Oryzias latipes: one gene and its partners. The protein of the gene in region 2 binds, or shares a complex with, the protein of the main gene of each other region. Links are inferred from orthologs where the notes say so. Each region holds a gene or a part of one and is shown on either strand. Other genes may lie near its edges.

Evidence for each region.
Region 1: taf1a (region 2) and tbp share a complex: the UniProt entries of both Homo sapiens proteins name them as parts of the transcription factor SL1/TIF-IB complex. The link is inferred for Oryzias latipes from reciprocal best matches to the Homo sapiens genes TAF1A and TBP.
Region 3: taf1a (region 2) and rrn3 share a complex: the UniProt entries of both Homo sapiens proteins name them as parts of the pol I pre-initiation complex. The link is inferred for Oryzias latipes from reciprocal best matches to the Homo sapiens genes TAF1A and RRN3.
Region 4: taf1a (region 2) and znrd1 share a complex: the UniProt entries of both Homo sapiens proteins name them as parts of the pol I pre-initiation complex. The link is inferred for Oryzias latipes from reciprocal best matches to the Homo sapiens genes TAF1A and POLR1H.
Region 5: taf1a (region 2) and taf1b share a complex: the UniProt entries of both Homo sapiens proteins name them as parts of the transcription factor SL1/TIF-IB complex. The link is inferred for Oryzias latipes from reciprocal best matches to the Homo sapiens genes TAF1A and TAF1B.
Region 6: taf1a (region 2) and polr2h share a complex: the UniProt entries of both Homo sapiens proteins name them as parts of the pol I pre-initiation complex. The link is inferred for Oryzias latipes from reciprocal best matches to the Homo sapiens genes TAF1A and POLR2H.

What each region holds. Positions count from the first base shown.
Region 1 is NC_019861.2:24,478,921-24,481,722, forward strand, and holds the end of tbp (TATA-box-binding protein), read right to left. Parts: intron 2,796-2,802; coding exon 2,628-2,795; intron 2,151-2,627; coding exon 2,056-2,150; intron 1,825-2,055; coding exon 1,745-1,824; 3' UTR 501-1,744; downstream 1-500. UniProt on the Homo sapiens protein: The TFIID basal transcription factor complex plays a major role in the initiation of RNA polymerase II (Pol II)-dependent transcription.
Region 2 is NC_019882.2:5,957,613-5,961,732, reverse strand, and holds the start of taf1a (TATA box-binding protein-associated factor RNA polymerase I subunit A), read right to left. Parts: upstream 2,801-4,120; 5' UTR 2,559-2,800; intron 947-2,558; 5' UTR 919-946; coding exon 780-918; intron 481-779; coding exon 317-480; intron 245-316; coding exon 131-244; intron 50-130; coding exon 1-49. Other genes in the region: mia3 (transport and Golgi organization protein 1 homolog), read left to right, coding at 3,764-3,887. UniProt on the Homo sapiens protein: Component of the transcription factor SL1/TIF-IB complex, which is involved in the assembly of the PIC (pre-initiation complex) during RNA polymerase I-dependent transcription.
Region 3 is NC_019866.2:25,533,914-25,537,413, reverse strand, and holds part of rrn3 (RNA polymerase I-specific transcription initiation factor RRN3), read left to right. Parts: intron 1-346; coding exon 347-430; intron 431-518; coding exon 519-642; intron 643-2,386; coding exon 2,387-2,517; intron 2,518-3,500. UniProt on the Homo sapiens protein: Required for efficient transcription initiation by RNA polymerase I (Pol I). Required for the formation of the competent pre-initiation complex (PIC).
Region 4 is NC_019869.2:21,549,312-21,553,127, reverse strand, and holds znrd1 (DNA-directed RNA polymerase I subunit RPA12), read right to left. Parts: upstream 2,561-3,816; 5' UTR 2,439-2,560; exon of another isoform or gene 2,299-2,438; 5' UTR 2,288-2,298; coding exon 2,170-2,287; intron 1,496-2,169; coding exon 1,392-1,495; intron 1,311-1,391; coding exon 1,201-1,310; intron 1,128-1,200; coding exon 1,103-1,127; 3' UTR 501-1,102; downstream 1-500. UniProt on the Homo sapiens protein: Core component of RNA polymerase I (Pol I), a DNA-dependent RNA polymerase which synthesizes ribosomal RNA precursors using the four ribonucleoside triphosphates as substrates. Can mediate Pol I proofreading of the nascent RNA transcript.
Region 5 is NC_019882.2:22,300,544-22,303,398, forward strand, and holds part of taf1b (TATA box-binding protein-associated factor RNA polymerase I subunit B), read right to left. Parts: intron 2,662-2,855; coding exon 2,564-2,661; intron 2,491-2,563; coding exon 2,398-2,490; intron 2,150-2,397; coding exon 2,044-2,149; intron 1,166-2,043; coding exon 1,012-1,165; intron 945-1,011; coding exon 845-944; intron 763-844; coding exon 615-762; intron 539-614; coding exon 364-538; intron 281-363; coding exon 243-280; intron 172-242; coding exon 84-171; intron 1-83. UniProt on the Homo sapiens protein: Component of RNA polymerase I core factor complex that acts as a GTF2B/TFIIB-like factor and plays a key role in multiple steps during transcription initiation such as pre-initiation complex (PIC) assembly and postpolymerase recruitment events in polymerase I (Pol I) transcription.
Region 6 is NC_019862.2:11,777,284-11,781,312, reverse strand, and holds the start of polr2h (DNA-directed RNA polymerases I, II, and III subunit RPABC3), read right to left. Parts: upstream 2,801-4,029; 5' UTR 2,650-2,800; intron 2,503-2,649; exon of another isoform or gene 2,312-2,502; intron 1,608-2,311; 5' UTR 1,587-1,607; coding exon 1,514-1,586; intron 1,136-1,513; coding exon 1,052-1,135; intron 783-1,051; coding exon 689-782; intron 587-688; coding exon 503-586; intron 350-502; coding exon 232-349; 3' UTR 1-231. Other genes in the region: lisH domain-containing protein ARMC9, read left to right, coding at 3,666-3,740, 3,880-4,005. UniProt on the Homo sapiens protein: DNA-dependent RNA polymerase catalyzes the transcription of DNA into RNA using the four ribonucleoside triphosphates as substrates.

The DNA of each region.
Region 1 (2,802 bases), on a different chromosome or scaffold from region 2:
AACGGAAAAGTTTGGAAACATCTTCAAATTCACGAAATGACAACTTCAACCGAGTAAACTTTAAACGTGACCTTATTAGCCAATACAAGTCATGTGCCACTACAGACCAGTTTGGGCCGTTCATTCAGATGCATCTCCAATAACAGCAGCTGTTTTACTGCTTATAAATAGAACTAAGAGAAAACCATTGGTTCTTTTACCTTACATATTGTGCTGTTGAACCACCATGTTACTCAAATTTCAAAGTGTTCAATTTAACAATACTTACAGAAAACTGTATAAAAACTACTGAATGTCATGGATCTGATGACCTATGAACTCTATAGGTTTCCACCCAATGTGACCGATTCAAGTTTCTTTTCTAGACTTGAAGAAATTGAAGGGGTTTTTTTTACTTCAAAAAATTTCCTCCAGATAGTTTCAGATAAATAAATGAGTCTGTGGCAAACACACTGCTTAAAGTAAAAAAAACCTCAGATGTTACAAAGACAAAACTCTGCTTTATGAACAGGATGTATGAACACGTTTATTAACGCACAGTACAGCTCTAACAGTTGTGGAGGAACAGGTATCCAAATGGAAAATGGATTTCTGGTGACAACATCCATAATAAGTGGAACAGACGTTAAGTTGAAACTTATTTTAAAAGTTTGGCTTCTGAAAGGTAATCCTTAGGTTGGTTAACGAGAAAATGAAATCAACAAGTGCCAGAAACTCAAATCAAAAAGTGATAAGTACTTTTCTAAACAAAGTTTTGCAAAAAGAAAGAAAGAAAAAAAACCAGGACAAGCAGGAGCATTTACACTGTTAACTCACTCTCTGCAGAGATTTATAGAAAAAAACAAACTCCTTTGTCTTGGTGCATTTAAATTGAAGACAGACTAATGAACATTATTGTTTTGAATGCCTGTTAACATCATTTTTCCAAGTTTCCTGTTTGCTTTAAGCTTTTTGGAACATCCTATCAACTTTGAATGACTAATAATTGAAAATAAGTTATATACATTTGTACAAGTTTTACAATAAAGCACATCTGATATCACAATTATGCTCAGTTTCTTCATAAAAAATAAAAAGCTTCAAGCAATGATGGAAACATGGGGTGACTTTGACTGGTAAAGGCAAATTATTGCAGAACAAACTACAGTCTGGATCGGATAACTCAATTATTGAAATGGTTTCTATTCGTTATAAAATGAGGGCTTTCACTGTAACCTGGGGACAAGTATGGCTTCAGTTTAATTTGAAATTTGAAAAGTTAATCGATTTTGTGGCAAGATTGTTTACAAGGGGTTGACCCAAAAAATAAGGAGAAATCATTCATAAATCGAGTAAAGATAGAAAAAAATCAGTTTGCAATATATACAAAACCTGAAACACTGAAATAAAACCAGGAAAAGTCCCGGTCTACCTGCCTTTTTCTTCAATACTTTTTACATTTTCGTACAATTCGATGTAAGAAAACTTGCCAGCGAGGAAGAGAAGAAAATGTAAAAGCTAAAAGCAGGTAAAGTTCCGGGTGAAGATCAATTGTGATGAGGAAACGAGCAGAGGACCTTTAAAATGTCTTTTTGGTTAAAAAAAAAATTAAGGGAAAGACAAATAGTCTTTCACATTCAAGTCTTTACTGTCAACTTGAAGAGGTCAATATTAAAATGTTAACATCTCAGTGAATATTAAAGAAAAAATAGACAGAAATGTAAAAAGTTATAGCGTTTGGATAGAAAACAGGGAATTATAAGTTCTACGTAGTCTTGCGGAATCCTTTCAGGATGGGATAAATGTTTTCAAAAGCTTCATAGATTTCTGCTCTCACCTTGGCACCTAAAAATAGAAATAAATACAATAAGTTAAAAAACAGAAGGTAAAGCTCATCAAAAAGAATTTAAAAATCTGTTTTGGAACTTCAATTTTACATCAACAAAATTCTAAATACTTCACGGAGAACAAAGAAAAAATAGAAAAATGCTAAATAAAAGTGTAAACAATAAGTACATACAGTTAACATCCTGTTTTACTCACAATAGGAAACAAAAAAGTCTAGTGAAAACTTACCTGTGAGTACCACCTTCCCAGAAACAAAGATAAGCAGCACAATTCTAGGTTTGATCATTCTGTAAATCAGGCCTGGAAAAAGCTCCGGCTCATAGCTGCAATACAAATATTACCTCATTTTAGAAAAGCAAAATAAAACCAGGAGAATAAAAAAAAAATATATAGTTTGCCATCTGAGTGTCAAACTTCTGTCTGTGAGTCAGATTGTGGTTTAGGATTTTGTTCAATTCTGACCTGCTTATCAGATTTACAGACACTGCAGGAAACCAGTTTAAAAAATGGATGGTTTTGGAGCATTAATAAAATCTGATGCATACATATCATTGTGGTGCTTGTTCAGTACATTTATATCATTTGTCATCCATTCAGATTTATTTTTTTACTTAATATTTTCTTTTATGTTAAACATATATGTTTAATACCTAAGTTGGCATGTGTGTCAGCACAGCTGTCCCAACATATTTTCTTATCAATAACTGTCAATAGTCGATTAAACTGTCACATTTTTGAAAAGCCTTTCAGGGATTTTTATACGGATTCTTTAAATCTGCAGTAAAACAAGGAGAAATTACCTGCTGAACTGCTGATGTGTGAGGACCAGTCCTTCCAGACGAATGGGAAACTTGACATCACAACTGCCCACCATGTTTTGAATCTTGAAGTCCAAAAACTTTGCAGGAAAACCGAGCTTTTGCACCACACGGGCATATTTTCTAGCTGCTAACCTGGACTGTTCCTCACTACAAA
Region 2 (4,120 bases):
CTTCTATCTGACCATGAAGCATTAAGTGGAATGAATGTTCCAGAGAAATCTAAAAAAAAAGAAGAAGAAAATTGCAGAATTTAGAGGAAAAATTATGTTCAAAAGAGGACAAGGGCTCGTTTTAACACACCTTTAGATAATGTTTAAATCCTGAATGCTTCATCCGTTCATATATGACATTGTAGTCATCCATCGTAGATTTGGGATGATGGTGAAGGATCTCAGTGCTGATTCTCCAAACAAGCTACAAGAAGATATTAAATTTACCTTCTTTTTAAGATACACACATTTGGTGAAGACGCAAAAGCAAACTTGCCTCTTTGTATTGCTGTGCTGTGAGATTAACTCTGTCCTCTAATATTTGTGCATAGCTGGCCATGTACTCTGCTGCCTCCAGCCACCTGTGATGAAGCATGGCTTCTCTGATGTACTCCAGGCACAGTCTGACGCTCTGGTGAAATCCATTTTCGTGCAGAGTCTCTGAAATTATTTAAGTAAAACTTACAAATTAATGAGTTCCAAACAAAAATATCATTTTTTGGCTAATGTAGAATAATTCAGCCAATTAGGGTTTGTTTATTATTGCAATAAAATGTAGATGACATATGTTTTCATGATAAGTATAATCTTTTCAGTGATTTCTGAAGATGTTTACTTAAAAAATACCGTTTTAATGACAATCTGTATGGTGTTATCTGACATATGCTCATAAACCCATATTTTTTTAAAGAGAATTAGAGGGGAAAACGCACTTTTATGGAATATAAAGTGTGTCTTACTTTGACAAATTGGTTGGATCAAATCTAACTTGAATGAGCTTCCTTCTTTTCTAGAGCTGTTGTCACAGGAGTCATCAGCATCATCATCATCATTCTCCATGTCTTCACGAGGGTTCAGTTCTTTCTCCAGGTCGTCCATGTTTGGCTAAAAGTTATGGCTCTTCAACCTACGAGGAGAAAAACAATGAGAGACAGTAAAGCAAAAAGTAGCAAACAGGTCCTTTGACATTACAATTTTTCTGTTTTATGAACATTTTAAAAATCACAAAGATGCTCTTCTAGAACTAAATAACGTGTCACTTATGACCAACTGTCTGCAGATTTTTAGGTGTACAACACAATCATAACTACAGGGGTTGACATAGCCCAGAAATTTGCACTGGCCCACAGGGCCAGTAGTTTTTGAAACTTACTGGCCCTGCCTGAAAGTTACTGGCCCGACACCGCGCATAGCGGGACCCGCCGCTCCGCAGGTGCTTGCAACTTTAGGGGGGTCCGGGGGCATGCCCCCCCGGAAACTTTTAATATGGTGCAATTTGGTGCATTCTGGTGACATCACTTATTTCTACACTTTTCAATGACTGAAAATAGACCATATCAAACTTAAATCTGCTCTAGTCTGTTTCAGATGTTTTGAAGAGAGCACTGCAGTGTAGTAGGTAACACTAGTTCAGAAGTTTTCATGGTGCTTCTAACGGCAAATATCACAATAAATCATAAACCTTAAATGTGTTAAAACAATCTAATGGCAGCTTGAACCATTTAACGAATCAAGTAAATCCCTTAATGCATTTGACCAATCGGATGGACGCCTTCACATTGTTGACCAATCAGATGGAGCCCTGTTATGTTAGATGTTTGTAACCTATGTCAACGTGGGTCATTTGGAGTATAATTTTTAAACTGGGAATGGTTATTTGGTTATTTTTCTGTTTGTTTATATACCGCAAATTATATCGTTATCGCAATTTTAATCTCTGATATCGCATATCGCGAGTTTTCCTCATATTGTGCAGGTCTAACTGAGATCATTCAGCTAACTAGAAATACTTACTGCTTACAGTAAGTATTTCTACTTTAAGTAAAATTAAGTAGTTTAACATTCTACTGCATTTGAGTCTGAGATTCAGGTATTTGGAGTTGCCTTTGATTCTTTGACATTCAGCTTAAAGCTTAGTGCATACAGTTTCATCTTCAATGCATTCATTAAATATCTTGCTGTCCATAGTACTAATTCCACCCATTACTCCATCTAACATATTCCTATCTATTCCTGCCATGTCTTCCACATCTCTGACATGCTTCAGTCTCTCTTCAGTGACGGTGTCGGATTTATAATCAAATGTAATAATAACCCACTGGCTTGTGCCTTCGTTGTTGCTGTTTAACATTGTTTTGTATTGAATTGTTACATTCAATAAAGTTTGAAAAAAAAAGTAGTGAGCGCGTGCCGCGTGGTGCTCCGCAGTGAAAGCCGCGCGCGCGCAGGCGGGAGAGAAGGAGAAGTGATCAAAGGTTTCCCATAGAAACCTTTGAAGTCTGAACACAGGACTAGCAGAAAAACTAAATTATGAAGACGAGGTAAATCTACACGTTTTCGCAAAATTTACTTTATTGAAAAAGGTGAAGAATATATAAACAGTTAGATATTTTAGTGGCCCGAGCGGACAAGTGAAAAGTAAAGTCTTGTGGTCCGCACTGCTCGAAAAACAGGACCGGGCCAGCGGACAAATGGCTATGTCGAGCCCTGAACTAGTAGCTGACATTTGATTTGCTTACCTGGCCAGACTAGCCCCACTGAGGCTCACTGTGTTGAAGTTACCCTACTCGAAAATAAGCGTCAAATTAGGATGAAATTAAGGTCTTATCTTACGGAAATAGGTTTTACCTAAATGGTGTCTAAATAAAAGAGTATGCTTGGCACTAAATTGATATTTCTGATTTAAATAACAAAAAAAAACGTAATTCTTGCTACACATGTGAGATGTTTGTAGCCACCACACTTCCGGTGCAGCTCAGGAAGTAGATTGTGAATCTGTCTTGCTATTGGCTGAATCAACCCAAGGAGGCGGGGCGGAGCAGGGGGTTTCCTCCACGTGACTTTTCACGGTCTCAGAGTTCCTTACTTAATCAATAATAATAAACTACTTACTAAAATATAAGGCAAAGAAAGAGCCAAAATTGTAACTACTGCAAAAAGATTTGCCAAATATTTTTTTTGAAGAAGTAAATGGGCTTCGATCTCTTTTTCCCTCTTCTCTCTTCGGAAATACAGTAGTGTGTACTTGTTGACAGTATTTGTAAATGTATCCACTACTTGTGCTAAGAGCAAAAAATGCATTTTAAATCACAAAGTAAGAAAGCTACAGTGTTAGCAAGATTTATTTATTCTCTCAAAACCTATTTTTTATTTTAGTCAATGTTTTGTTTTACTGAAATTTTTATTATTTTGAAATTGAAGAAACATATACATGTAAGTTTTCTAAAAAAAAATAAATAAAACTAATATTAATAGAACACGTAAAAATTATTTTGAGTTGATATTTTTACAATGTCACGGTATGAAGCTTATTTTTAACCATGTCATTTTTTAAACCTAGTAGTAATTATTTATCTTTACTTTCAATATAAGGAAGTCTTCTACAATGTTTTTCAGTGAGTTATTTTACTATTTCCTCGTAATTGCGTTACTTTTGCTCAGAAAATAATGTTCAGTGGTTTGTTATTGGAGCTAAGTGAGTAATTTGAATGTGGCCACACACACAAACACATTAGAGAATGAGGTCGTGCTTTCCAGTCTTCGTGTTTATTCTGGTGTGGACCTGAGGCTGATTCTCAGGTACCTGAATCCGCCTCATCCATCGATGCGAACCCGTCCGGGCCTCCACCCAGCCGGATCTTAACTGCTGACGTGTCAGCTCCTGCGTCCCACTGCTCATGCTCCGGCGGCGGCGGAGTCAAGTCCGGCTACACTAACTGCCAACATGGCAGCAAAACATTTTTACCGTCTAGGCTTTTTATTATTAGTTTTATTTTATTTAATACCAACTGCAGCCTTGGAGAGGAGATTCTCTGACTTTAAAAGATGCGCAGACGAGGAGTGCAGCAGTAAGTTTGCCTGCAGAGCTGGGGAGGGACGCGGCTTCATGGATGCGGCGTTCCCTTCCGTTGATCCTGATACGGGAGCTAGCCATAAACCACGGCTTATCTCTTGACCTGTTGCCCGTCGATACTCGCGACCTTGACTCTGGTCTTGTTATGGTGGAAGGATGCTCAGATACAGCGGGGTAGTCGATGCTAACCTCAGCTAAACGGGGGAATAGCAGGGCCAAACTGCCCGG
Region 3 (3,500 bases), on a different chromosome or scaffold from region 2:
GAAGACCACACCCCTTCCATCGAAAGCAGGCTCAGGAGAATCTGTCAAATGTGAGACCACATGCTTTTCCTGAGGCGTCTGATTGGTCAGTTAATAAATGAAATAACTAGAACTTCACACAAAATATGATGAAAAAACAGAGGATTGTCTAGGAGATGTTGAGAATCAGATCAGGAACGGTTCTTCTGATCAACAGAATGACTGAGGAACAGCTGTTTCTATAGGAGTCCATGGCATTTCAGCTTCTTGGAGCCACTCCCTTTTTGGAACGCCAGGGGGGAGGAGTCACTGTCCAGTTCTCATATAGACTCAATAGTTCTAATTAACCTTAACAACTGTGTTGCAGGTGAGTGTCTCCCGTGCAGACCTGGAGGGAGCAGAGGAGGGCGTTCAGGAGCAGAGCACAGACCAGGAGACGCTCTTCGACATGGTAACGCTGTGAACCGTTTGACATTAGACGGATCTCTGGTCAGGATGTTCTCCACATCTTTGCTTCAACAAAAACTCCTTCCCATCAGGATGAAGACGTCCCGGCGGAACAAACACCGGCGATGAAGGTGACGGTCCACCCGGTAGGAGAGAGGCTGGACGCCCTGATGACCGTACTGATGGCCTACATCAAAGACGTCTGCCACGTTAACGGTAGGCAGATCACATCTAGAAAGGATGCTGCTCTAGCTAAAGACTTTTACTTCAGAGGTGTAAAGGAGTAAAGTGGAAGGAAGAAATCCTTCAGAGGAACAGATCATGGTGGAGGTTCTGGAGATCAGTGCAGGGAAGACGTTTGGACAGGGGAAGAGCCTAGAGGAAGACCACAGGACATTTGTGAAGGCTGTTAAGGAGGATGGATGTGTGAGTGAAGAAGAGGAGAAGACTAGATGGAGGCAGAGGATTCATGTGGGAACATCAGCGGCATCAACCCTATTCCCCCTGAGCTGCTGCTCTGCCTGCTTGTTCTCTTCACCGTTGGCCTTAGACAAAGTAATGCCTTACTCACAACGGTCCTTATGGAATACAGCTCCTAAACCCCCCCAGAGGGAAACTGGGACAGACCGAGGGTTTATCATTTCTCCCCCCAGGGCCGTTCCTGATGATTAGTGGTCTATAAGGCTGATCACTGATGTTCATTTGAAACCTCCAGAGAGGAACAGGTTCAGCAGGACTTTCGTGAGGGTTTTTCAACCAAAGTTTTCATATCAATTAACATCATTTAAACGACTGATCTCTGTGAAAAGTTGAAACAAAAGTGAAGGGACATCCTCAGCACTGAAGCGTGTCTCATAAGGTCAAACTAAGATGGAAATACGTTTTATTAAGCCGAAGGTCAAAATAGTTTGGGGAGAATGTGACTGTTAATCGTCAGTAGGCCTAGCTAACAGCTACATGTTCCACCAGAATAAGAAACGGCTCCATTTGACCTCCAGCAAACACAAAGGAGAAACAACTGAGCTGTTTCCCTGAGAGGTCAGACACACAACAGACACACAACAGGAGGAAACAGTCACACTGATCAATGATAGATCGGCCTGCTGCTTCACGTCCTCTGTTCACGGTTCACCGATGACTGGTTGACGTCTTCAAGTCGGCGCTCCTTACCACATCCTGGCTGTTGGAAATGAGGAAATTAGACGGTGTACTTTGTGTGAACATCCGACGGACGGGCACTTGTGTATCACGTGCACGCCAGTGTGTGCAGCATTTGCATTCGGTGAGCCAGAACTCTGACCTTTCAGACGACTAGAGTGTGGTGTAAGGACACTGTACCACAGCATCACCCGTGTGTTCCAAGTTTCCATTAGCCGTAGATGTTCTCTATGATACACGTAGCACACATACAACACTGAGGTGACCGTGCACGCCTCAAGGGGAGTGTAGGACACTCCTGCACTGGTTCCTCTCAATGACCCTCCATGGACCCAGACAACCCAAAAACCTGCAGCGCCCGTTCGGATCAACCCCCCCCCCCCCGTACACGTGCATGTGACCAAAGCTTAAAGCTGCTATCAGTTTGGATGCTTCAGCAAATCAAATCAAATCAAACTTTATAAAAGGGTGCTTCTCATGCCTCAGTGCTTTACATTTAAAAACAAACACAATATTACATAAAAAGACAACCCACTCCCCTCCATGAACACACATGACCCCTCACACAAAGAACACTTATAAATGTCACTTCTGAGAGAAACGTCTCGACTCTGCAGCAGATATCCACAGTGCAGTGTAGTCCTTCATCCACTGCCGTTAGACTCAGCCACCTGCATCAAATGTTAACGCAGTACGTTTCTTTGTGTCTCATTGCTGGACTTGTGTAACGGTGTTTGTGCTAGAATGTGTTGGTCCAGCCACAGAAACGTGTGCATCCACACCGTGCCTGTCGTCTGTGCAGGCTCTTTCCATGCTGAGCGGTCCAAGGAGCTGTTCCGAGATCTCCTGAGCATCTTTGACAAGCTCATCCTGCCCACACATGCTTCCTCACATGTGCAGTTCACCCTCTTCTACCTCTGCAGCTTCAGACTGGTCAGTTGTTCTCACACTGGATAAAAAACACGGTTCAAAAAACTAACCAGCCAGTCGATTTTCACGCAGTGCCTAAGGTAATTGATTCTATTTAATGATGTAGGAGTATGAGGGATGATCAATAGTTTTTTCATTTTACAAGACCCCTCCCATATCTTAACCAACCCCCCTCATCCCAGGTAGGGATGCTGCATTTAAGGCTTCAGATTGAGTCTTTGGTCTCAAACTTACGGATCACTGATGTGATTCTCCAAACATTCTGAGCATTTGTCTTAGTTTTATTGTATTATGTGGGGGGTGGGGGGCAGACGCAGAGGGACAGCAGCTGATACCTAATTGGAATGTCCCAAGTGTGTTTTGTGCCTTACCTGCCCAAGTGTCAAAGTGTCCTTGAGTTAAACACTGAACTCCCAGTTGGTGCCAGTGTCTGGCAGCAGAACCACTGTGCACGTGTGTTTGTGTGCGTGCATGTGTGTGTATGTGTGTGTGTGAGTTTGTACGTGTGTGGTCGTGTGTGTACATGTGTGGTTGTGTGCGTGCTTGTTTGTGTGTGTGTGTGTGTGTAGGTGTGTGCCTGTGTGTGTGTTCGTGCGTGTTTGTTTGTTTGCGTGTGTTTGTGTGTGCGTGTTTGTACGTGTGTGTACAGGTGCATGTGTAGGTGTGTGCGTGCGTGTGTGGGTGTGTGCCTGTGTGTGTGTTCGTGCGTGTTTGTGTGTGTGTTTGTGGGCGTGTGTTTGTGTGTGCGTGTCTGTACGTGTGTGTATAGGTGCGTGTGTGCAGGTGTGTGTGTACATGTGTGGGTGTGTGCGTGCTTGTTTGTGTGTGTGTGTGTGTAGGTGTGTGCCTGTGTGTGTGTTCGTGCGTGTTTGTGTGTGTGTTTGTGTGTGCGTGTTTGTACGTGTGTGTACAGGTGCATATGTACGTGTGTGTGTGCGTGTGTGGGTGTGTTCGTGCGTGTTTGTGTGTGTTTGTGTGTTTGTACG
Region 4 (3,816 bases), on a different chromosome or scaffold from region 2:
TTTTTGTAAGAGTTTACTTTTATGCCAAATAGCTTGCCTGCTTGTGCATCTCCTGTGGATAATAGATGAGGGGGGCAGTTATTAAAAAGGCTTTAGAGAGAGATTGGGGGGGGGGGGGGGGTATAGGTATGATGGAGAGCTACTGAGGCCCAGGAGGACCAAACTAGACCAAGGAGGTTGAACTGTTTTTTTCTAAATGCTGCTGGCAACTTAACAGGGCAGTTGTGGTGCAGAAGTAGAGCGGTCAACCCCTGATCAAGAGGTTGCAGGTTTAATTCCCACCCTACCCGCCCATGTGTCCAAGGTTAAGACACTGAACCCCACCTTGCTTCTGGGGGTTATAGGTTGGCAACATGGTTTGGTAGCTGAGCCACAATCAGTGTGTGTGTTCATGGGTGAATGGAACTGTGACTGTAAAATGCTCCAAGAAGATAGTTAAGGGGCTAAATAAGTATACGCCGTTTACCATTCTGCTTCAATAAATCAACAAAAAGAACATGTCAGATACCAAGAGCGTTCTTTATCATTTAAAGAACAATTTAACAGCCATGTGAGATGTAAGTTGAAGCCTTACTGGATACAACAGTTCAAATTTGGTAGAATACTTTATAAAAACATAGGATGACAGTTTTCTGGTCTTTGACAAGAGTTTTAAAGAAATTAATCAAACTATAAAGAGATCATTTTCTGAGAAAATGCGCGCAAGTACTAACAGCTGTCCAGTTGAGAATCAGGGTATGCTTCAGGAAAAATAAATATAAACAGCTGATACAGTTTTATTGTTTCTGGTTAGTTTGCTGAGTTGCTGTCCTGCTCCTTCACTTTAGTTGACTTGTGTAAAATGTATACCTGATTGTCCTGAGCCTCCGTGGCTGCAGTTTAAATCTGAGACATCGATTCCTGTTTTTTTTCTTGTAGAGTCCCGATGAACTGACCAGTGTCATGTGTGACAAAGGTGGAGAGGACCAACACGTGCACCAGAACATGCACAAGTTCAGTTTAACAAACAGAAACAGCTCATCACTACAAAAAAGCAGCTCCCTGGATCAAAACAGAACCAGAGTTGAGGTGATTGTGATCAGATAGTAAGCAAAAGCTTTTCTCAGGAGTCCTCCTTTTCCTGGAACCTGAAACAAGACAAAGACCGGTCAGCTCCAGAACCGTACAGCAGGACAGGAGGGTCACGCTGACGCCACCTACCTGCAGTGGATGCAGGTGAAGAAGACCGTCTGTCCTTCATCTGCAGATCTCATCTGCCTAGTGTGGTAGATCATGCCTTCCTTATTGCAGCGAGTGCAGCGTCGGTCAATCTGCAAGCAAGGCAAGAAGCAAACCGTGAGGCGTTACCGCGACAACGAACGCTCCACTGCTGAGCGGACGGCTGCTTTTACCACAGGGCCCTTCAGCTCTGAGTTCTCCTCATCCTCCAGAGCCAGCAAGGTCTGCTCAGCGGGGTTGAAGATAACCCCAGACTGAATTTCTCTTCCCAAGAACTCTGCAGAGCAAAAGCAGCACAGTTAGAGGATTGGACAGATTAGACCTGTTAGAGAGACATCAGGAGAACCCTTTTGTCAGTGCAGACTGGCTCAAATAATTTCATGAAAGCATTAAGAGTAACTTTCAGCAACAGAGTTCTTCTGAATCCTCAACATCCTTCCCATGACCTGTGATAGTGTCACGTGGTAAAGGACACATGTATGAGCTGCCAGTGGATCTCCAACCCCAATATGAGGCCTTCCCAGGGAGGAGGAGTGAGCCCAGCAGAGGTTACTGTCTCATCACTGCTCCACAGACCGGCTGAGGAAGAAATTCAATGACTGATGTTGATCATATGCTAAATTGATTTGTCTGAAATGTTTCATTTGAGCAGTTTTAGGTGGTTGCTTTTTATTTCCCATTCTTGTTAAAGCATACTAGTCATTAAGAAAGGAGGGCAGTCAAATCAGAGAAACTAAAAAATCAAGGAAGAACTTACACATAATGTGAACTTAAAGGTAGTTGCTGATCAAAAACAAATAAAAAATGGAGGGAAATGTCAGACTGAGTGCCTCATTTTCAGTAAACCGGTAGTTTTGACTGTACTCTTGGTGCTTAAAAGCCATTCGGTTCTTGAGGGACATGAACCAGCAGCAGAGCAGGCAGACTCTCATGGCGGCGTGGACCGCTTACCTGTCACGGGCGTGCAGAGACAGCAGCGAGGGCAGCGCACCGTGTCGGACAGTCCTGGCAACGGCAGGACGCTGCCACAATCCTGACAGAAGTTGGGGTCGCGGCCGTTTGAAGACATTTGCTCTGGTTCTGAGGAAGCGCGGCGGCTATGTTCAGAGCACGTGACACAACAACAGTCCGACAGACAGATAGCTAACACATCATGCTAACTTGCAGGCACGTGGGTGGGCGCGCGCGGGCTCTCGGAGGAGTGATTTGAGGATAATTACCTGATCGATGGCTGTTTGCACAAAAACAGACAATAATTTACTTTCTCCTCGCCCGCATTGGGTGTTGTTGTGCGCTCTTCTTCTTCATGTTAACTAGAAGATGGTAATGTCACGTAAACACGAGCGCCTCGTAGTGGACAGAAATGTGAATGACACCATTGTAGTTTTCCTTCATTTGACCCTAAATTTTAAGGATGTTCCAACGTTTTACAACTCAAAAGACCTTATTTATTCGTAGTTGACTCTTATAAATTCATCACTTACTACTGTTGTAAGTTATATGAAGGTTTTAGACTACTGTAACTTTATAAGTGTGTTTTAATCCAGATATTTTCACCTCTAATGTTTCAGTTAGCCAAAAATCGAATTAATAAATGTCATTTTGTTTCCTTTCTCGCAAATGTTTGATGGTTTTTCTGTCTTTTTAAATCCATTATTTTAAAAAAAATAATTTTAAAATGTATTTAGCAAATTAAGCACTTAGCTTGCATCAAATTCCTTTGGTTGCTCAACATATTTAGTTGTTTTTTTGTTATTTCTCACAGCAGTATTATCTTGTAATATTGCATTTGTGGCATTGTTCATTATTGAGTTTTTCTAATAATTTCAGATGTTTAGCAAATTTAGGAATTATCAGTTCACCTGGGAGCTTTTGCATTTAAGTATTCAAGCTGGCAACAATTTAATTGAATAGCCTCCTTTATTTTTCCTAGGAATTAATGCTTTTCCTGGTAAATCCTGTTTGTACTTCTGGCCACAATTGCATATCTACATGTAGTTTTTTGCAGTTTCCTCTCAAATAATTGTAATTAAATTCCGATCTGTAAAAAATTGAGCCTCCAGTTTCACACACAAGGCAATTAATCCGTATTTATATCTTTGCCCACAGCCTCAAGACAAAATTAGATTTAAACAAGGTTTTTAAAAATAAATTACAACCTGATAAAATAAAAACAACCTGCTTGCCTATTTAAATCGACATAAATTGGCAAGCAGGGGGCATAAAACAACTAGAGCACATAATTATTGATAGTAGATTCATAACTCCCCAGGAACTTCAAGACAAACATGGAATAAATAACTTCTTGGAATATCAGCAACTTAAATCAATTATTACTAAAAAGTTTAAATACAGAGACAACGATTTCAAGCTACCAGACGTAGTTACCACTCTGATTAATTTCTCAATGAAAAAAACTCTCTCCAAAATATACAAACTTTTATGTAATTTAGATAATAATATTTCACTTCCGACAACAAAATGGGATGCGGATTTGAGCATCAGCACAGATTAAAGCTTCTGGTCAGAACTTTGTCTAAACACCTTTAAACTGACCAAAAGTCCAAATCTGCAGCTAATCCATTTCAAAACTCTTCA
Region 5 (2,855 bases), about 16 Mb from region 2:
AAAGTCAGATTTAAAAATATTGCCAGAAGTGACCTGAAGGATCTGCAGGAGTCCGACAAACTGGAACCGAGGAACAACCTCACCTGGCTGTGTCCTGGTCCCTCCTCTGCTGAGCTCGGTTCAGAGCGGTCTGCATCAGTTTGTACCACCTTCGCAGGTTAAACTGGGCCCCTGTCAGAGAGAAAGCATGAGCTTGAAGAGCCCCCACCAAGAGGACTCACACACAGGGGGCACTCACGGACCCTCTCCGTCTGTGGACCTGGCGTTGTTGGACAGCTCCCTGAAACCAGGAGAACCGCAGTGAGACGACCTGTCTGTGGAATGGATGTAGGGGGGTGGGGAGGGCAGGGCAGGGGGGGTTACCATTCGGTGTGGTCGTCCAGGCCAAAGAGGAGCTTCATGGTGACGATAATGAGCGCTGCCGCCTGCAGGTCGTACCGGGGCAGGGTGGGCTGGGACTCGGGGTGGAACGTCTGGCGGCTTTCATGGAACAAACCTGCGAGCTCCGCCACTCTGCAGACCCACCTGTGCAGCTCACCTGCAGACAGGAAGGAGCCGCTCAGCCCGCGCAGCATGCATGTCTGTCTGTCAGCTGGGACGGAGGAAGCTGTTACCGGGCAGGTTTGCATCGATCAGGTAGCGCAGGCTCAGTGGCCCCGGGTGGAGCAGAGTCTGCTGGCTGATGGGAGGAAACGCTGGAAGTTGCAGGAACAGAAGCAGATCCTGAGCCTCCTTATGCAGCGAGCGGTGAGACGGTACCGTCTGCAGAGACAGTTCACCACATCGTCAACAAACAGGAGAACACAGGGCAGAGGTCAGCAGCTCACTCACTCCAGGTCGTTACCTCTGCAGTAAACAGAAGAGCATCTTTGCCGAACAGCTTCATCTGCTCTGGGAGCTGCTCATGGGCCTTCACATACGGGACGCTTCCACAGTTCACCAGTCTGAGAGCAAACACAGGATCAGCCCAACATCCAGCAGTCCAACGCCTGGTTTGGAGGAGCAGATTACCCAAGCAGGTCGCTGAGAGTCAGCGCCTCCCGGCTCCAGACCAAGGCCAAGTGGATCAGGGCCAGAGTCTTCTTCAGGCTCAGGAGTCTATGGCTCCGCCTCTGACGGGGAGTCAGGTAACAGAGGCTGTCCGCTGATCCAGACCAGTCACTGCCTGAGGGATTAGGCTACATTTCAACATACAATACTCACAATACGTCATGGATATTGTGAAAAAAACAACAAACTCAGTGGATGTGATATACACAGAGACGTGGTGAGCGATACGCCGAGGTCAAAGGTCCTCAGGGTTGGCTTTGGGGAAGGAGGTGTAACAGTCTGGACAGGTATCACCAGTCAGGGTCAAACTGATTTGGTTATTGTAAATGACCCAGTCACTGAATGTTCTAACCTCAGAGACATCATAGAACCATTCTCATCCCCCAATTCCACCAGAACACCCCCAGCTTTCTGTTCATGGATGATTACACCCTATCACATGGTACCAGTACTGTCACAGCAGGACTTCAGGAAGTGGGAGTAGCTCATGTGGTATGACCAGCAATGACCCTTGACCTGAAACCCATAGAGAACGTCTGGGACCAGCTGAAGCAGACTGGATGATGGTATCCCACCCCCAAGTGAGCTGCAGAACTACATGCAGCACTTATGGAAGATTGGTTCAGACCAACACCATGAGGTTGGTGAGGAGACGTCACTGTCAAGCTGCTGTTGATGCAAATGCTGCAAATACCCACTATTGACATTTCTGTTATTTGGGGCTATTTTTATTATTGTCCTCATTTTAGGGGTAATATTAACCTAATGAAAATGTTTTTTTCTCATTAATTTTTAGTTATTAGTAATATCTCCAACTTTCTGTCAGTAGTCTAATTCAATAATTAGATAATAATAATAATTCACTCATTTCAAAGTCAGACCCCCCTGTAGTCCCCCAGACGGCAGAGATCTGAGGTCTGGCGTCTCCATAGTCCAGTGACCAAAGACTTCATGGCTGACCCCAGCTGCTCCTGCTGGGGGAGTCAAACATACCTCCTTTAGAGCTGGGGCTGCTGCAGGGATTTGACTCTCCATCCGTCCCGCTGGCTGATGCCACAGACGCCTCGGCTGCGCTGTCTGAATCCGAGTCTGCGTCTCCCTGGGGGGGGGGGGGACAGAACAGAAGGCTGCTGCAGTCATCATCACTCTTCCTCTGAAGACATTTATGTTTGTTCCTGCATTTGAGTGGATCTAAAAATTCAGACTAAACTGATATCCCTCCAGTTATGAAAAAGCATGGAGAGCATATGAATAAATAAACATCCGTGTTAGTACTCATTGAAATCATGTATATGATTATCTCAGCACAGATTTTCAAAGGAAGGTGAGTCACAGACTGAAACTGACCACTCTGAACTTGGCGCTCCTAACTCGGTTGACGCAGTAAGCCTGCCGGCTCTTCTGCAAGTAGAGCCTCCACAGCTGACGCAGCACGCCGTCCTAAAGCGGCGAGCCACACACTGATCAGACGGGCTCAGGCATCGATGGCAGATCAATACGGACAGATTCAGACCTTGAAGTGAGGATGGACTCCCAGCCTAAGCAGGGCATCCGCCTGGTTCATCAGGATGAACTGGAAACCTTCACAGACCATCCATGTGTGACGGCCACCTGAACGACACAGAACACGTGTGAGACAAAGAAACACAAACGTTTCAGATGGGCACTGCCATCAAACTGAGAGGAACCCAAAAGCATTTTCAAAGATCTAAAACTGGAAACGAAGCAAATGTCTGAATGAGAGTTCCAGAGTTTAGAAGCAACAAGGATTCATGGAGGAGCCTGAAGATCAGAGGATGCTGGAG
Region 6 (4,029 bases), on a different chromosome or scaffold from region 2:
AGTTAATCAACACTTGTAATTGTTTTGTATAAAAGAAAGAAATATTTATTTACAGTGTACCACCAAGTGGAAATCACAGACCTCAGTGTAGTTTGTTGGAGGAACTATAAAAAATACAACAGAGGTTTACAAAAACATGGTGTTTTGTCTCTAAGATGTTCATATGTTCCACTTTTCTAGATCCCAGTTTTACAAAGGTGGATGAAGGCGGTAGAAAACAGAGGAGGGGGGTTAAAAGGCCAGCTTCTTCATGAGGAGATAGACTCTGGAGTCTACCTCAAAGCCGTGTAGATTGTTGGCATCTCCCTGCAGCCTCATGAGAAGGCCTCCATAAGACACATAGGCTGAGCTGAAAGAACAAGCACATCATTAGAGGACTTGATCAACATTTACACATACATACAGTTTATTTAAATTTTTACTAATCACTAAATTGACAGCACTTGACTTTTAACTTAAATAAAGGATTGTAATGATCTACATGCATTTGTGTAGAACTTACAGACGCGTGGCTGCTTCTGTTGAGGTCTCATCGCCTTCTATCTTGTAGACCTTTCCATACATTACATAGTCAAACTGAGCTGCCCTAGAAACAATTTAAAAATGGAAGATGAATCAAAAGCATCACACATTATCTGCCACAGATTGAAAGACATGGATGTTCATTTATCTTCTTTAAATGCCTTGCCTAGATGGTCGATCATCCTGGGGATTGTACTCTCCATCATCTGGCGTTCCATCTTCATATAATGTACTGGCAATCACCAGTCTGAACTTGTCCCCTTTTTGAAACATGCAAAAAAAAATCTGGATTTATCATAGCAATGTACATAATCACCTAAGATCAAGCTACACTTCTAATACAATAGTTTTACATTGAGTCAAAACTGAGTTAAAATAACTTATCAATTCTGCACCAACACCTTACAAGAGTGAAGAATGACAGTTTCACTAAATACTACCAATAATCAATTTAAAAATTCCTCCACAAAGGCCAAATGTCTAAGATCAAACAAGACATAAACAATAAAGGACATTGTTAATTTCTTACCAAGATCAACAGGATAAATCTGAGTATTTACATCCAAGATCAGGTCCATCTTGAAAGATTCACTTTCACAATGCAGACGAGACACTGCAGTATAAGTAATAATAACCTGTATTAGTTTATATTAAAGAGAACTGAAAACATTATGAAACTGACTAACGCGCTTTTAGATATCCATCTTTTTCAAGCAAATGCATATAATGATTATGTTTGTTATTGTGTTAGTTTTAAAGCTACTAAAAAGCAGGATTGAAGGTTTCCCAACTCAGTAATGTGATGACTGTAATGTTTAGCTGTAATAAAATAATAAAATAAAAGCTGTAATTACTGACAACACAATTTTTTAGTCACACTTAACACAATATGAACAAAAATGCAATATACAATTGTAATTATGACTTTTACAACTGAAACTATCTACTGGTGAAGATCGTTTTTGTGTTTTTACAGTGACAGTCCACATACCTCTGTCAAATTTCTTGCCATCTGGATCAATGTCTTTCACATCAAAAATATCTTCAAACAAAATCCCAGCCATCTTTATCCCTTTCTGTTAAACCTAAAACAGATTCATCATAAAACAAAATTAAAAGGGAAGGTTAGTCACACAGCAAAGCATTTTACGTAGCCAAGTCAATCAAGAAAAACACACTATAGCAGTGAGTGCTATATTGTGTTTTTCACAGTTTCAGTGTGAAATTCCTATGACTCTTCTTTCTTCTTTCTTTCTCTTTCGGCTTTTCCCATCAGGGGTCGCCACAGCGAATCATCCTTTTCCACCTCACTCTATCATGAACATCTTCTACCCTAACATTAGCCAACTTCATGTCCTCTGTTAAGACATCCATATATCTCCTCTTTGACCGTCCTCTTGGCCTCCTGCCAGGCAGCTCCATCTCCAACATCCTTCTAGTTCTACCAATATATCCACTATCCCTCCTCTGAACATGTCCAAACCATCTCATTCTGGCTTCTCTGACTTTGTCGCTAACACAGGCAACATGGGCCGTCCCTCTGATGTACTCGTTCCTTATCCTGTCTAACCTGGTCACTCCTAAGCGTTCTGGTCCCGATCTTGACTATAATTAATTAAAAACAAGTTAAAAAGAAAAAGGAATAGGTCAAAACAAATGGAAATCACAAAGCTCTCCCACCGTGTCAAAGTGGGTGAACAAAACTTGTCACAACTTTGGACAACTTTAACAATGTTCACTTACGCGCTAACTGTAGCATCATGTTGTCCACACAAAATATAATACTTACCCCCAAGTGCTGTTCTTGTATTTTTGTGTAAATAGTATGCCCTGGAATGTGGTGAATTCGTGTAAAAACGATAATAATGTAACCTAGACGTCAGATATTTGATTTAGATAGATTTTCATTCATTATTAAGCGAAATAGTCGGTACCGCGCAGAACCAGCGTGTTCGACCTTTGACATAACAAGAACTTCCGTTTTTTTGTCTCTTTTTTTCTTTTAAAAGAAAGACGCATGTTTTGCTTTACTGAATGTTATACATTTTTTAGAAAGGGAAAAATGCGTTGCGATGGTGTAATGTAGAAAAAATGATCACTAAAATAACACCAATTAAATTTGCCTACCGTTTTATTTGAAGGCTCACAATAGGTCAAAGATGGGGAAAAAACGAATAATATTTTGGCTAAATTTTACGTAGCAAATAAAAAAAAGATTTTTATAAAAGTATTTGTTTTCTCTCAATTATTTAACTGATAATTTAAGTAACCAACAACTGAACTAATTTTACGACAGTTTTTACTAACTTCCGTCTGTCGTCATCTTGTTGCTAGGTGCGTTTAGCGTCCTCTGTGTGGACGGTTGCTAGCTAATGTTAAGGCTGTTGTTTTTACCATAAGCGTCATTATATCGAAAAAATAATTACCAATATACATTTTAAGCATAAATAAAATATTTAATGAAACTTCTAATGCGGATTCTTACCAAGAAAAGATGGTCAAACGAGGTAAGGAACGCTCATCATGTGAACAAACCTGACTGAAACAATTATTGACTAGCTTCCTGCAGTTTGCAGCTCTTCAAATCTCTGCCGTTATAGTTAACGTGTTTTCCGCTATAAAATGCATACAAAGATGAAAATAATTTTTTTTTGATCATAGTAGTAACATTAGGATGGTCTTAGTTTTAGGGCAGGGATGTCCACTTAGTTTCTTCTGTTTAGTTTAGCAATCAGCTATTGAATTCTATGACTTTATGTTCTTTATGATTCATGTTTATTACACAATTACCGGAATGAAGCCCATTGAGATGACTATTGCTGTAAATATTGGGCTATAAATACAATGTAATTGAATTGAATACAACTACAGTAACCTCGGTTGGAACAAACAAATAATAATTCGGAAAGAAAACTGAAACCGTACAAGTTAATACAGGTTGTAATTATTTGCTCTTGTTCGAATAAGCAAGACTGGTCATCTTTACATTAAAACGTGAAATTATTGAAGTATTTTTTTCTTTTTCTTTTTGCCTGTCTGTGCTATTCTGTCTGTTCAGACTGTTACCTGTTTTTTGTAAGTGCAAAGGAATTTCAAACTGAGCCCCAAATGACGGCCGGTATTTTGACAGCTGTGGTCCACGGATGAGTTCAACTAAGACAGCCAAGATGGGAGACATCTTGGCAACTGAAGCCGATCTCCTTGGGATGATTAAAGAGGTAAAGCATGATAGGGATGTGAAGAAAAAAACTGCAATTAAAATCCATAATCTGTTTATTCTGATAGTTGATCTAACATTTCAATGTATTCCACGATGGTGATTGTATAATTAACACACTTTGTGTTTGTTCTCTTTAGTACCTGAAGTTTGGGGAATTTGAAGAAACGGTTCAAATTTTTGACAAAGAATGTAAAAGCAAAGGCAAACTTGTCTCCAAGCCTCGAGGAAACGCTCTCAGAGACTCAAAGACTCGTGTCATTCAGGTAAATTATACGTTTCATAAGATA